3 linked regions of the Sus scrofa genome follow. The protein of the gene in region 1 purifies or fractionates together with the protein of each later gene. This does not show direct contact. Links are inferred from orthologs where the notes say so. Each region holds a gene or a part of one and is shown in the gene's direction. Other genes may lie near its edges.

Region 1 (3,925 bases):
TAACCAGCAGGAGTTGCCATTGTGGCTCGGTGGGTTATGAACCCGAGTAGTGTCCATGAGGATGTGGGTTTGGTCCCTGGCCTTGCTCAGTGGGTTAAAGAACTGGCATTGCTGTGGCTGTGGTGTAGGCCCATAGCTGCAGCCCTATTCGACCCCTAGCCTGGAAACTTCCATAGGCCACAGGTGCAGCCCTGAAAAGCCAAAAAAAAAAAAAAAAAAAAAGTTACCAGCAGTGGAGTATCCTTGCCTCTCCAAACCCAGAGCCCGGTGCTGCTTCATATTTGGAATATATCTGGGCTCTAGGGGACAGACAAAGTTTTGGATCCCAGAACCCCCTGCTCCAACCCCACCTGCCACTTCCTGATCCTCAGACACACAGAGCTCAATCATGCCTCAGGGCCCTTGCCAATGTTGTACTCTTTTCCTGGTGTCCCCTCCTTGGACTTCCCTGGGTTCAGTCTCCTTGTTTATAAAATGAAGGTGACCTCGGCATCCCCCAAGGGGCTGGCAGCTGCAGTTTGGGGCCTCAAGCAGCAGAGGCCTTGTCATCACTGGTGTTTGCACGAGGCCTGCCACAGGCGGGTTTCCTGTTCTTGCCTCATCCTGACCTGCAGCTCTCACATGCCTGTTAATCCCAGGATGACCCCCTGGCTGGGGTTCCTGGGAAACAGAGTCCTGGAGGGGCTTGTGGCTGCCTGGGGTCACATAGTGAGGCAGAGCTTGACCCCAGGACAGCCTAACCCCCACGTATGGGGCTCAGTGCCACACTCACAGGGCCTGATTCCCCCGTAGGCCAGCGGAGCCTGCACCACCGTGGAGATACCCTGGAGACGCTGGTCCTTCTGAATCCATCAGACAAATCCCTATGTGACGAGGTAGGAAACGGTAGGCTCCTGGGGGAATTGGGCTGCTGGGGTGGGCACCATTCCCTGTCCTCTGACTTCATATTGCCTGAAGTCCTGCTCCTGATACCCAGCAGCAGTGCCCCTCCCCCAGGAAGCCTCACGTGATGGCACCAGCCTCAGTTTATTCCCTTCTCAGAGCTGGTGATGGGAGCAGGTAGAATCAGAAAAGGTTGGAGTTTGGGAGGAACGGATGGGATAGGGAAGGTCTGGAGGTGGGAAGGCAAGACCTGGCTGATGTTTGCATCCTATGTGTTCCCTCTGGACCCCAGTAATTGTCTCAATTGATTTCTTAATACTTCTGACTTGTGGACATCTGCACTCTTCTCTCAGTTTTCCATGAGAAAGATGAACAAGATAGAGCCCCAGATCTAGAGATCCTTGTGCAGATTGATTCCTCTGATCAAAAGTGCTCCCTGGGAGTTCCCATCGTGGCTCAGAGGGTTAAGAACCCTACTAGTATCTGTGAGGATGTGGGTTGGATCCCTGGCCTTGCTCAGTGGATCAAGGATCTGGTGTTGCTCTAAGCTGTGGTGTAGATTGCAGATGCGGCTCAGATCCAATGTTGCCGTGGCTGTGGTATAGGCTGACTGATAGTGGTGGCTCCGCTTCGACCCCTAGCCTGGGAATTTCCACATGCCGCAGCTGCAGCCCTAAAAGGCCCCCCAAAAAAACAAAAAACAAAAAAACGCTCCCTGAAGGAGCTTTGGAGGAGACAGACTCAGACACAGTACCTTCTTCCCTGTGGCATTGGGGCTGGGCCAGTGGGAGGGGTGGGCTTGGGGCATCAGGGCTTCCAGGAGGAGGGGGCATTGGAGCTGGGCTTTCTAGATTGAGCAGGAGTTGGTGGGGGCGGGTACACAAAGACCAGCAGGATGCCCATAGGCTACAATCTCAGCTTCTAGTTTAGCACTGGCTAGGATGTTGGGGCGACAGGAGTGAGTGGTTATATATAGATTTGGGGCTGGGGACGACCCTGAAGTGGGGTGTTGGCTATCTCAATGCACAGAATATGGCCTTGAACACTTCCTCCTCCCTTAGCTCCGGAATCTTCTTTTGGACCCTGCTTCTCACAAGCTGCTGGTGCTGGCTGGGCCATGCCTGGAGGAGACAGGGGAACTGCTGCTACAGACGGGGGGCTTCTCACCTCGCCACTTCCTCCAGGTCCTGGGGGACAAAGAGGTAAGCCATCCCTTCCCCATCCTGCCTCTGATTTCTGGTTTCTCCCCACTGGGCTGAGTGGTCCCAGTCACCTGCTGTCCCCACTGAGCAACATCCCTTCCTCCCCTGTGGAATGACAGTGACAACATATGTTGTCAGAGCCCAGTCCCATTACTCACTACAGTGTGTGGTCCGAGGCTGGGCCCGTAGATCAGCAGATGTTCCAGAGGCCTCAAGGGGTACCCCAGATTCTAGGTCCCATCTGGGGCAGAACTAGATGGGGTCCCTTCTGGACCCTTTAGTCTAGGTGGGGCAAATGAGCAAAAAACCTCTGGCCAACCATGTTTTCATGTTGTAGTGAGTAATATAGTGATGGTGAAATAAGAACCAGTACACAGAGGTGAGGGTGCAAGGTGGCGTATGGAAGGCCTTCCTGGAGGAAGCTTTGCTCTCGGAGGTGAGAACAGCTAGTGCAAAGGCCCTGGGGCAGGGAGAGTGAGAGAGGATGGGGGAGGGCAGGTGGGGAACAGGTGGCAAGCAGGACCATGGCCTCTCCTGGGCTGTGGCGAGCACTGGGTTCTGTCCTGAGGGCAACAAGGGTGGGCAAAAGCTGCTCCCAGCTCCACAAGGCAGATCAGGGCTGTCTTTGCTTAGTCTCCCTAAGGGGCTGGCTGTTGCCTGGCTCCAGGTGCCCCCTTCACCATCCCCCCTTTACAGATCCGGGATCTCCTGGCCTCCACACCCCCACCTGTGGACCCGCCCAAGCTCACCATCACCTGTCCGACCTTCGGTGACTGGGCCCAGCTGGCACCTGAAGTGTCTGGCCTCCAGGGCGTGCTCCAGCTGCAGTTAAACCCTCCCGTGCACCTGCCGGCTTCCGAAGGCCTGCGTGAGTTCCTGGAGTATGTGGCTGAGTCGCTGGAGCTGCCGTCCCCCTTTGAGCTGCTCGAGCCTCCGGCCTCCGTGGGCTTCCTCCGGCTCGCCCGGCCCTGCTGCTACATCTTCCCTGGTGGCCTCGGGGATGCTGCCTTCTTCGCTGTCAACGGCTTCACCGTGCTGGTCAACGGGGGCTCTAACCCCAAGTCAAGCTTCTGGAAGCTGGTGCGGCACCTCGACCGGGTGGATGCCGTGCTGGTGACCCACGCGGGCGCCGACAGCCTCCCTGGCCTCAACAGTCTGCTGCGGCGCAAGCTGGCAGAGCGCGATGAGGCAGCTGCTGGCGGGGGCTCCGGGGACGACCGGCTGCGCAGGCTGATCTCCCCCAACCTGGGGGTTGTGTTTCTCAATGCCCGGGCGGCCGCCTCGCGGCTGGTGCGTGGCGAGGACGAGGCAGAGCTGGCCCTGAGTCTCCTGGCCCAGCTGGGGATCACACCCCTGCCCCTGCACCGCGGGCCGCTGCCGGCCGAGCCCACAGTGCTCTTCCAGAAGATGGGTGTGGGCCGGCTGGACATGTACGTGTTGCACCCACCCTCGGCTGCTGCTGACCACACACTGGCCTCCGTGTGCGCCCTGCTGGTGTGGCACCCAGCAGGCCCCGCTGAGAAGGTGGTACGAGTGCTGTTCCCTGGCTGCACGCCTCCTGCTCGCCTCCTGGATGGCCTGGTCCGCCTGCAGCACTTGGGGTTCTTGCGGGAGCCTGTGGTGACCCCCCAGGACCTGGCAGGGCCTCGGCGAGCTGAGAGCAAGGAAAGCGTCGGCTCCCGGGACAGCTTGAGGCGAGAGGGCCGGGCCACGGTGCCCTCCAGGCCTGCCCAGGAGCGCCCCGGGGTGACCCGAAAGGAGCCCCCGCGGGCCGAGGCCCCTCGCAGGGCTGAAAAAGAAGCCAGGCCCCCCCGGGAGGTGAAGAAGGACCCCAAGCTGAG
Region 2 (3,780 bases), on another chromosome or scaffold:
GGCATGTCACAGTGGTTTCCTCACTATGTCAGATATACAGGGCTGGCCCCAAGTCCCCCACCAGGGGGTGTTAATTGTTAACATTGTAGAGGTTGCTGTTCCCCTTCTGCCCACTGGCGGCCGAGCTCCTGGTATGCACCAGTCCCTACACCTCTCACTGTATAGAGGGTCTTGGTCAGGGCAGAGTAGCAAAGTGGATTGCCTTCTCCAGGACACGCCCTGACCCCACCCAACTAGGGTGCTGAGATAAGCTGTCCATCCTCAGAATCCCCATCCTTTTCCTAGCCCCTAGCCTCATTCATGCCTTCAGTTACCTTGGTTTCCAGGTATTCTTAGGGCCTTACCCAGTGCTAAGGTGGCTCCAGGCAGGAAGTAATAGGTTATTCTCATCAAGGCTCAAACTTTTCTTTGCTTTTTGGCCACTCCCACATCCTGTGAAAGTTCCGCGGCCAGGGATTGAATCCACAACACAGCTGTGACCCAAGCTACTACAGTAACAATGCCAGGTCTTTAACCCACTGAGCCACCAGGGAACTCCAGACCTCAAGCTTTGTTGTCACTTTCTATAGGCCACTTTTCATAGTGGTCCATCCAGGGCTCACTTCCTTTGCCTGTGACACATTACAGAGGAATGGGTTCCTTAAGAATCCTGTGTCCACACCTTCCCATCTTTCAGGATGAGCCCGTGGAGTGGGAGACACCTGACCTTTCTCAGGCTGAGATTGAGCAGAAGATCAAGGAGTACAACAGCCAGATCAACAGCAACCTGTTCATGAGCCTTGTGAGTTGACATCCTGTTTTGGAGAGGGGCAGGAACCCAGCTGTGTGCCTGATGCCCAAGGATCACAGCTGAGGTTTTCTTGGGTAGGCCCAAGCAGTGATTTATTCATACCCAGCCTAGCCCCAAGTGGGCTGGTAGCATCCAAATCTGTTCCATCTCACTTGGCACCTAGTCATGGTTTGCTTTTTCTTCTTCAGAACAAAGACGGCTCCTATACAGGCTTCATCAAGGTTCAGCTGAAGCTGGTGCGTCCTGTATCCGTTCCCTCCAGCAAGAAGCCACCCTCCTTGCAGGATGCCCGGCGGGGCCCAGGGCGGGGCACAGCTGTGAAACGCCGTACCTCCTTCTACCTGCCTAAGGATGCTGTCAAGCACCTGCATGTGTTGTCACGCACCCGGGCACGTGAAGTCATCGAGGCCCTGCTGCGCAAGTTCTTGGTGGTAGATGATCCCCGCAAGTTTGCGCTCTTTGAGCGGGCTGAGCGCCATGGCCAAGGTGGGCTTCCCACTCCACCCCACCCCATCATGTCTGAAAGTAAATGTGCTTGTGCATGCAGCAGCTGAGGGGACTGGGCCTGACTAATCAAACACTCCCGTCCCCCTGCCTGGTCCTCAGTGTACCTCCGGAAGCTATCAGATGATGAGCAGCCCCTTCGGCTCCGGCTCCTCGCAGGGCCCAGTGAGAAGGCCCTAAGCTTTGTCCTGAAAGAAAATGACTCTGGGGAGGTGAACGTGAGTATACAGCCATCCTTAGTTTCTTGGTTGTCACTGGGCAGGACTGGTGAGTTGCAGCTACAGTAGCCCTGCAAGACCTCTCCCAAGAGTATTTGAAACTTGTAGCTAAAGTGACACTCATGCCAAGGTCTAGGGCCTAACTCAAGAAGCCAGGAAGAAATGTCTTTGTGCTCTGCTCTTTCCCATTGTGGAAAGCCCTCCGGTGATGCAGGAGTCCCATTCTACAGTGTGGTGGTCAGATCAAAGTCACACAGATGGGCACAGGATGACATGGAGGCACCCCCTTCAGGCATTAGAACTTTTTACCTGGAATCTTTCTAGCTCCAAGGTAGTACACAGGCAGAGTGAGATTTAACTCAGAGAGAGTGGGTATGATTATCCACAGGTAACTGGGGAACATTTGGCTTGGCTGCCTGTCCACGAGGTGACCGCCCTACTTTGTGGGGCCCATCTTGTATGTGGATTGTCGTTGGAAATCCTAGCAGAGGCCATCAGGCAAGAAGCCGACTTTAGAAAGCCCCATCCCAGCTGTGTGATCATGATGCTCTGGTCTTTTCTGGGGAGGGCTTGCTGGCTTGTTGGTGTGTGCTGCAGCCTGTGTCTCCCCCCCTCTACAGTGGGATGCTTTCAGCATGCCTGAACTACACAACTTCCTACGCATCCTGCAGCGGGAAGAAGAGGAACACCTCCGCCAGATCCTGAAGAAGTACTCCTATTGCCGCCAGAAGATCCAGGAAGCCCTGCATGCCTGCCCCCTGGGGTGACCTCTTGTACCCCTGGGGTGACCTCTTGTACCCCTGGGTGGAAGGAGGAGAGTAGGCAGCGCCAAGGGCGTGCCGTGTGAGTGTGCGAAGGCCCATGTGGCCTGAGGAATGAATGTGCATGGAGGCCCTCTCTTGCTGGGGGAATGAGCCCAGAGAACAGCGAAGGAGCTGGTCCCCTGTGTCCACAAGTGGGTGTAACAGAGCATGGCTCTGCACCCTTCTGCCCTTCATGTACTGGGTCATGGTGGGCCAGGGTTGCCCTGGGAAGCTGCTCCAGGGTTGCCAATGGGGCTGGAGCAGACAGAAGTCTACTTAATTTGTATCTTAGATACAAGAATCTTTGAGATCCTACAAACAAATAATAGGGTCATGTTTGCAGGGATGAGGGCCCTCATCTATGGTGAAAGATTGTGTTTTAAGTCTTGGATAGGGTCTCAGGACAGCCCTGTCACAACCAAGGATGGATATTCTAGGCATCAAGGAAGTCTAGGATTCTCTCTGTAGCACCCTCTGACTCCTCAGACACTCTGGGGTCAGGTAGTGCTAGCTCATGGTGCAGCAATGGTGCCTCAGTGCCTCCTCCAAGGAGGATGTCCCTGGGTCAGGGTTTGTGTGTGGGCACTGGCCCACCTCTGTGCCTTGTTTGCCAGTCAAAGCCAGGGTCTTTCCCTTGAGTATTTTTGATGATGTGTGCGAATGTATGTAATATTTTGTGACCTCAGCTCACTGCCTCCTGTTGGGAAAGGGGTCGGGGTGAAGGGCATCAGGGCCTGGGGCTTGAGAGAATTGGCTGAATAAAGATTTAAGCATTCTGCTTTTGGATTCTTTTACGGGCCCTCATCTGCAGTTGCCCCTCATGCCAGTGGCTGCCAAGATTGACAGACAGCCTCATAAAGCACCTTTTCCACGGGGACCATGAGACCAATTTGTGAAGGTTGTGCGATATGGATATGTACTTGGTCATTAGTCAACACCTGGGAGCTCAGGGCATGGTAGAGGCAAGAACATCAGCTGTGGCCGGAGCTTAGGGAAACCACACACTTCGCCAAATATTCAGACACTGGTGTGGAGCAGACACTGCTTATGGGACCGAAGGTACAGATGTTAACCTTCATGAAGCATGGTTTTTGGTGGGTTTAGAAAGAACACGATTTGAAGTTCTTCAGTCCTGAATGTAGCCATACAACCACTGGCCAATTCTCCTTAAGTTCGGTATTTTCTCCGCATGCCACGGTGGGAATAGCAAACAGCGTGGGAATACAATGAGGCCAGAGAGGCACTTCCCAGCCTGGCCTGAAGTCAGGCCCTAAAGTGCTGGTTTGAGAGGACCTGGTGGTTGGACGGGTCCGCTGAGCCTGACTTCTAGGGGTTGTGGACGTTTACGCCGCCACACACATCGAAGAAGCCAGGAGCACACCGCCACAGGTTTCTTGTGTGGGAGCGGCCCCAGGTGGAGGGAGCGTGGCCTGCTGGGAACTGACGTCTCGCAGTGCATGCTAGG
Region 3 (3,163 bases), on another chromosome or scaffold:
CTCTTACAGTTCCTACCAAGATAAGTAATAGCAAACGGTAAATCATTGTGCTTTAACAGATTTTTTTTAATTACCTGCCTGCCCCCATTGCTTTAAGAGTCAGTTTCTGAAGGAGACAAGAGTTCTGGATTTTTTTTGTTGTTGTTGTTAAAAGTGTTAGGTTATATATTTCAGGGCATCCTATGAGCCCTGAGGCAGTATCCCTAAAATATGTTTATCAGGAGATAACCCGTATCTTACTGACTTGACATATAAATAAATACAATAAATCTCAGGATGCCATAGATCCTGTTACATCGAACAGATTTTATCTCCCATTCACACAGGACATGAGGCCTGCCTTCTGTTGTTACACAGAAAACCAGTAAAGGATGCGCTGGTGGTATCCCCAGAAGCTAGCACAATAAAACTAAATCATTCAGTCAAATCATACCATTACTGTATAATGTATACAGTGAACATGTGAGAAGTATTTCACTTTCAAATTGGCCAAGCCCCATGTCAGAACTTACATGGCACTGTTTGTACTAGATTTAGGTTATTTTGAATCATAAGCCCTATTCTATCAAAATGCTTGGGGTAAAAGTATTCTGGATCATTTAATTTTCTGATTAACCAAGTGCTTAAAATTTAAGCCTTTGGTAAAATGCAGGCTAGAGCAGTCAATTTAAGCTGTATTCAGTCTTGTCACATTCTTGGGGGATCTCTGCAAGTATCTGTGATTGCTGTAGCGCTCCACAGCTGGCGAGGCTGTGCGAGATCAGAGGGAATACATCCCCAACTTAGCCAGAAAGTCTGTTTGGTGACAATGGTGGATGTATCTTTCTGCCTTTTTTAAACACACATTTTTGTTAGCTTATTTTTCTCATTTGTTCTTTCCTAAAAGCAGAAGGGTTTTTTTTTGTTTTTGTTTTACTGTTTCATTGCAAATTACTTGAGGTTCTTTCTCGCAAGATGTGGCTTCCTGATTCTTCAAGGAAAGAATTCATGTTTTAATTGTTGAGCCATATTTCAAAGATGATGTAAAGAGTTGAAATATTCCTGCTAAAATTCATTAGACTTTAACCCATTATAGATAATTATTACTTTTTTTTCCTTACACTCAGTTAAAAAATCTAAGTTTAGAAGAACTACAGATGCGGTTAAAAGCGCTGGACCCCATGATGGAGCGAGAAATAGAAGAGCTCCGTCAGAGATACACTGCGAAAAGACAACCCATTCTGGATGCGATGGATGCCAAGAAAAGAAGGCAGCAGAACTTTTGAATCTAATTTCTCCTCTGTTTGTTTCTATGACTGTTCTGGAGACCAAGAAACCACTAAGAATTGAAGGGGTATTATGCTATCTTTTTCAATCTCTTAAGATCCGTGCTCTACAACCAGGCAGCAGTCAAAAACTGACGATGGTACAAACCCAGGTAAATTCCCCAAAGACAGAATTTAATACTGTATCCACTGTGTTTTCATTTTTTAAATAATGAAAACAGCAGAAATGGTGTTCTCTACATCTGTCAGCTGCATACCAGTACTAAAACTGTGTTTTAAAACGAAGGCTGTGTTTAGAAACCTTGAAAATCCAAAGCTGTTGTGTAATTGTACAGCACCGAAGGGCTTTATGTTACAGTATTCTTTATTCTTTTCTATTAGCCTATTTATTGTATCCCTTTAGGTAAACTTATTTATTTATGCTATTTCACCTTGTTTTGTTTTTTAAGGACAAGATCAGGATAGCTTTGGTGAAGGCAGGGACTATTACTAGATGATAATGAACAACCCAATTATACTGTAAGCAGGGAGCTCTGGGGTACATGCTTTCATTTCCAGGATAGTTTTCCAATAGAAGCAAAGCAATAATAGCAATAGTACCCAAAGGGCCCAGGCATTTTTTTATACAGAAGCAATAATTCCATTTTTACCTTCTGAAGTTTTAATTTTTTATTTTTGATGCTTGGTACAAATAAAACTATATATATTTAGGTCAGACAGAGCTGTAATGTTTAAAACCAAAGAAATCAATGGAACCCTTGCACAAAAAAGCATGGTAAATTTTTTAAAAGAAATAATTCCTTAAGACAAATGTAATTGTGAATATTGTTTCATGTGTAGGTCTCATAGCTAAACTGTATCAAATTGTAATAAGCTCATGACATTTTTTCTGTGAAAATGTGCTCAGTTGTCACCAGACATTTTTGTTGATTTCATTTATTTCCTGGGAATTGGTAAACATCATGTGCCTGATGATAGCAAAATAGCAGAAACATTTGTACTGAACTGTGCAAGCCTTGGGGACTGATAAAGATTAAAACTATTAAAAAGAAACTCATTTCTAAGCTGAATGAACATTTGCATGATTGAACTGGGACCAGTCATTTTCCTAAGCTACATATGGCCATCTTGACAGCGTTTGTTCTTTTGTGTGTTTAATTACTACATGTAAATCATAAAGACAAATAAATTTTACTGTGCCACCCAACACATTTCATCTCTGTATCTTTTTTTAAAAAACTCATGACCTGGATTCTGTCTTTTCCAGGGCAAGGAAGGTATATTTGTCTGGACAGGCTAGATTATGCTGTGATAACAACTCTGAACCCTTCAGTGGCTTACCGCTAGCCAGGTTATTTGGCACTTGTGTGCCCTGCTCCCATCTTTCATACCCAGGGACCCTGCTGACAAAGCTGTAACATCAGTGCTCACCACATGCTGACAGGCTCACTAATGACTACCTCAGGAGGTGTGTCATCTCTGGAAACTTCTGTTCTCCAAAATGGCAGCGTTGGGGAGTTCCCGTTGTGGCGCAGTGGAAACAAATCCAACTAGCAACCATGAGGTTGCAGGTTTGAGCCCTGGCCTCACTTGATGGGTAAGGATCCAGTGTTGCTGTGAGCTGTGGTGTAGGCCAGAGGCTACAGCTCTGATTCAAACCCCTAGCCTAGAAACCTCCGTATGCCATGGAGGTTCCATTTTCACTAAAAAGCAAAAATAAAACTAAAATAAAATAAAATGGCATTGTGCCCCAGGTAATGCCTGGAGTAGTGTTTCTTTTGCTGTGTTGAGTCCTTACAACTAGTAAACTGTGTAACTGGATACAAATTATAAGATCATTAAAATAGTGGAAAATATTGAAATTTTTATAAGTTATTAAAATATGAAAACTGAATTTA

What was found. The genes of interacting proteins can lie anywhere in the genome.
Region 2: the proteins of MAP1S (region 1) and RASSF1 purify together in Homo sapiens (affinity purification with mass spectrometry; 4 studies listed by BioGRID and IntAct, counting the BioPlex papers as one, with this or other methods). This does not show direct contact. The link is inferred for Sus scrofa from reciprocal best matches to the Homo sapiens genes MAP1S and RASSF1.
Region 3: the proteins of MAP1S (region 1) and STK3 purify together in Homo sapiens (affinity purification with mass spectrometry; 3 studies listed by BioGRID and IntAct, with this or other methods). This does not show direct contact. The link is inferred for Sus scrofa from reciprocal best matches to the Homo sapiens genes MAP1S and STK3.

The regions. Positions count from the first base shown.
Region 1 is NC_010444.4:60,022,590-60,026,514, reverse strand, and holds part of MAP1S (microtubule-associated protein 1S), read left to right. Parts: intron 1-792; coding exon 793-875; intron 876-1,943; coding exon 1,944-2,084; intron 2,085-2,780; coding exon 2,781-3,925. UniProt on the Homo sapiens protein: Microtubule-associated protein that mediates aggregation of mitochondria resulting in cell death and genomic destruction (MAGD). Plays a role in anchoring the microtubule organizing center to the centrosomes. Binds to DNA. Plays a role in apoptosis.
Region 2 is NC_010455.5:32,815,467-32,819,246, reverse strand, and holds the end of RASSF1 (ras association domain-containing protein 1), read left to right. Parts: exon of another isoform or gene 1-631; coding exon of another isoform or gene 632-676; coding exon 677-781; intron 782-978; coding exon 979-1,276; intron 1,277-1,396; coding exon 1,397-1,512; intron 1,513-2,132; coding exon 2,133-2,279; 3' UTR 2,280-3,091; downstream 3,092-3,780. UniProt on the Homo sapiens protein: Potential tumor suppressor. Required for death receptor-dependent apoptosis. Mediates activation of STK3/MST2 and STK4/MST1 during Fas-induced apoptosis by preventing their dephosphorylation.
Region 3 is NC_010446.5:38,304,304-38,307,466, forward strand, and holds the end of STK3 (serine/threonine-protein kinase 3), read left to right. Parts: intron 1-1,106; coding exon 1,107-1,265; 3' UTR 1,266-2,474; downstream 2,475-3,163. UniProt on the Homo sapiens protein: Stress-activated, pro-apoptotic kinase which, following caspase-cleavage, enters the nucleus and induces chromatin condensation followed by internucleosomal DNA fragmentation.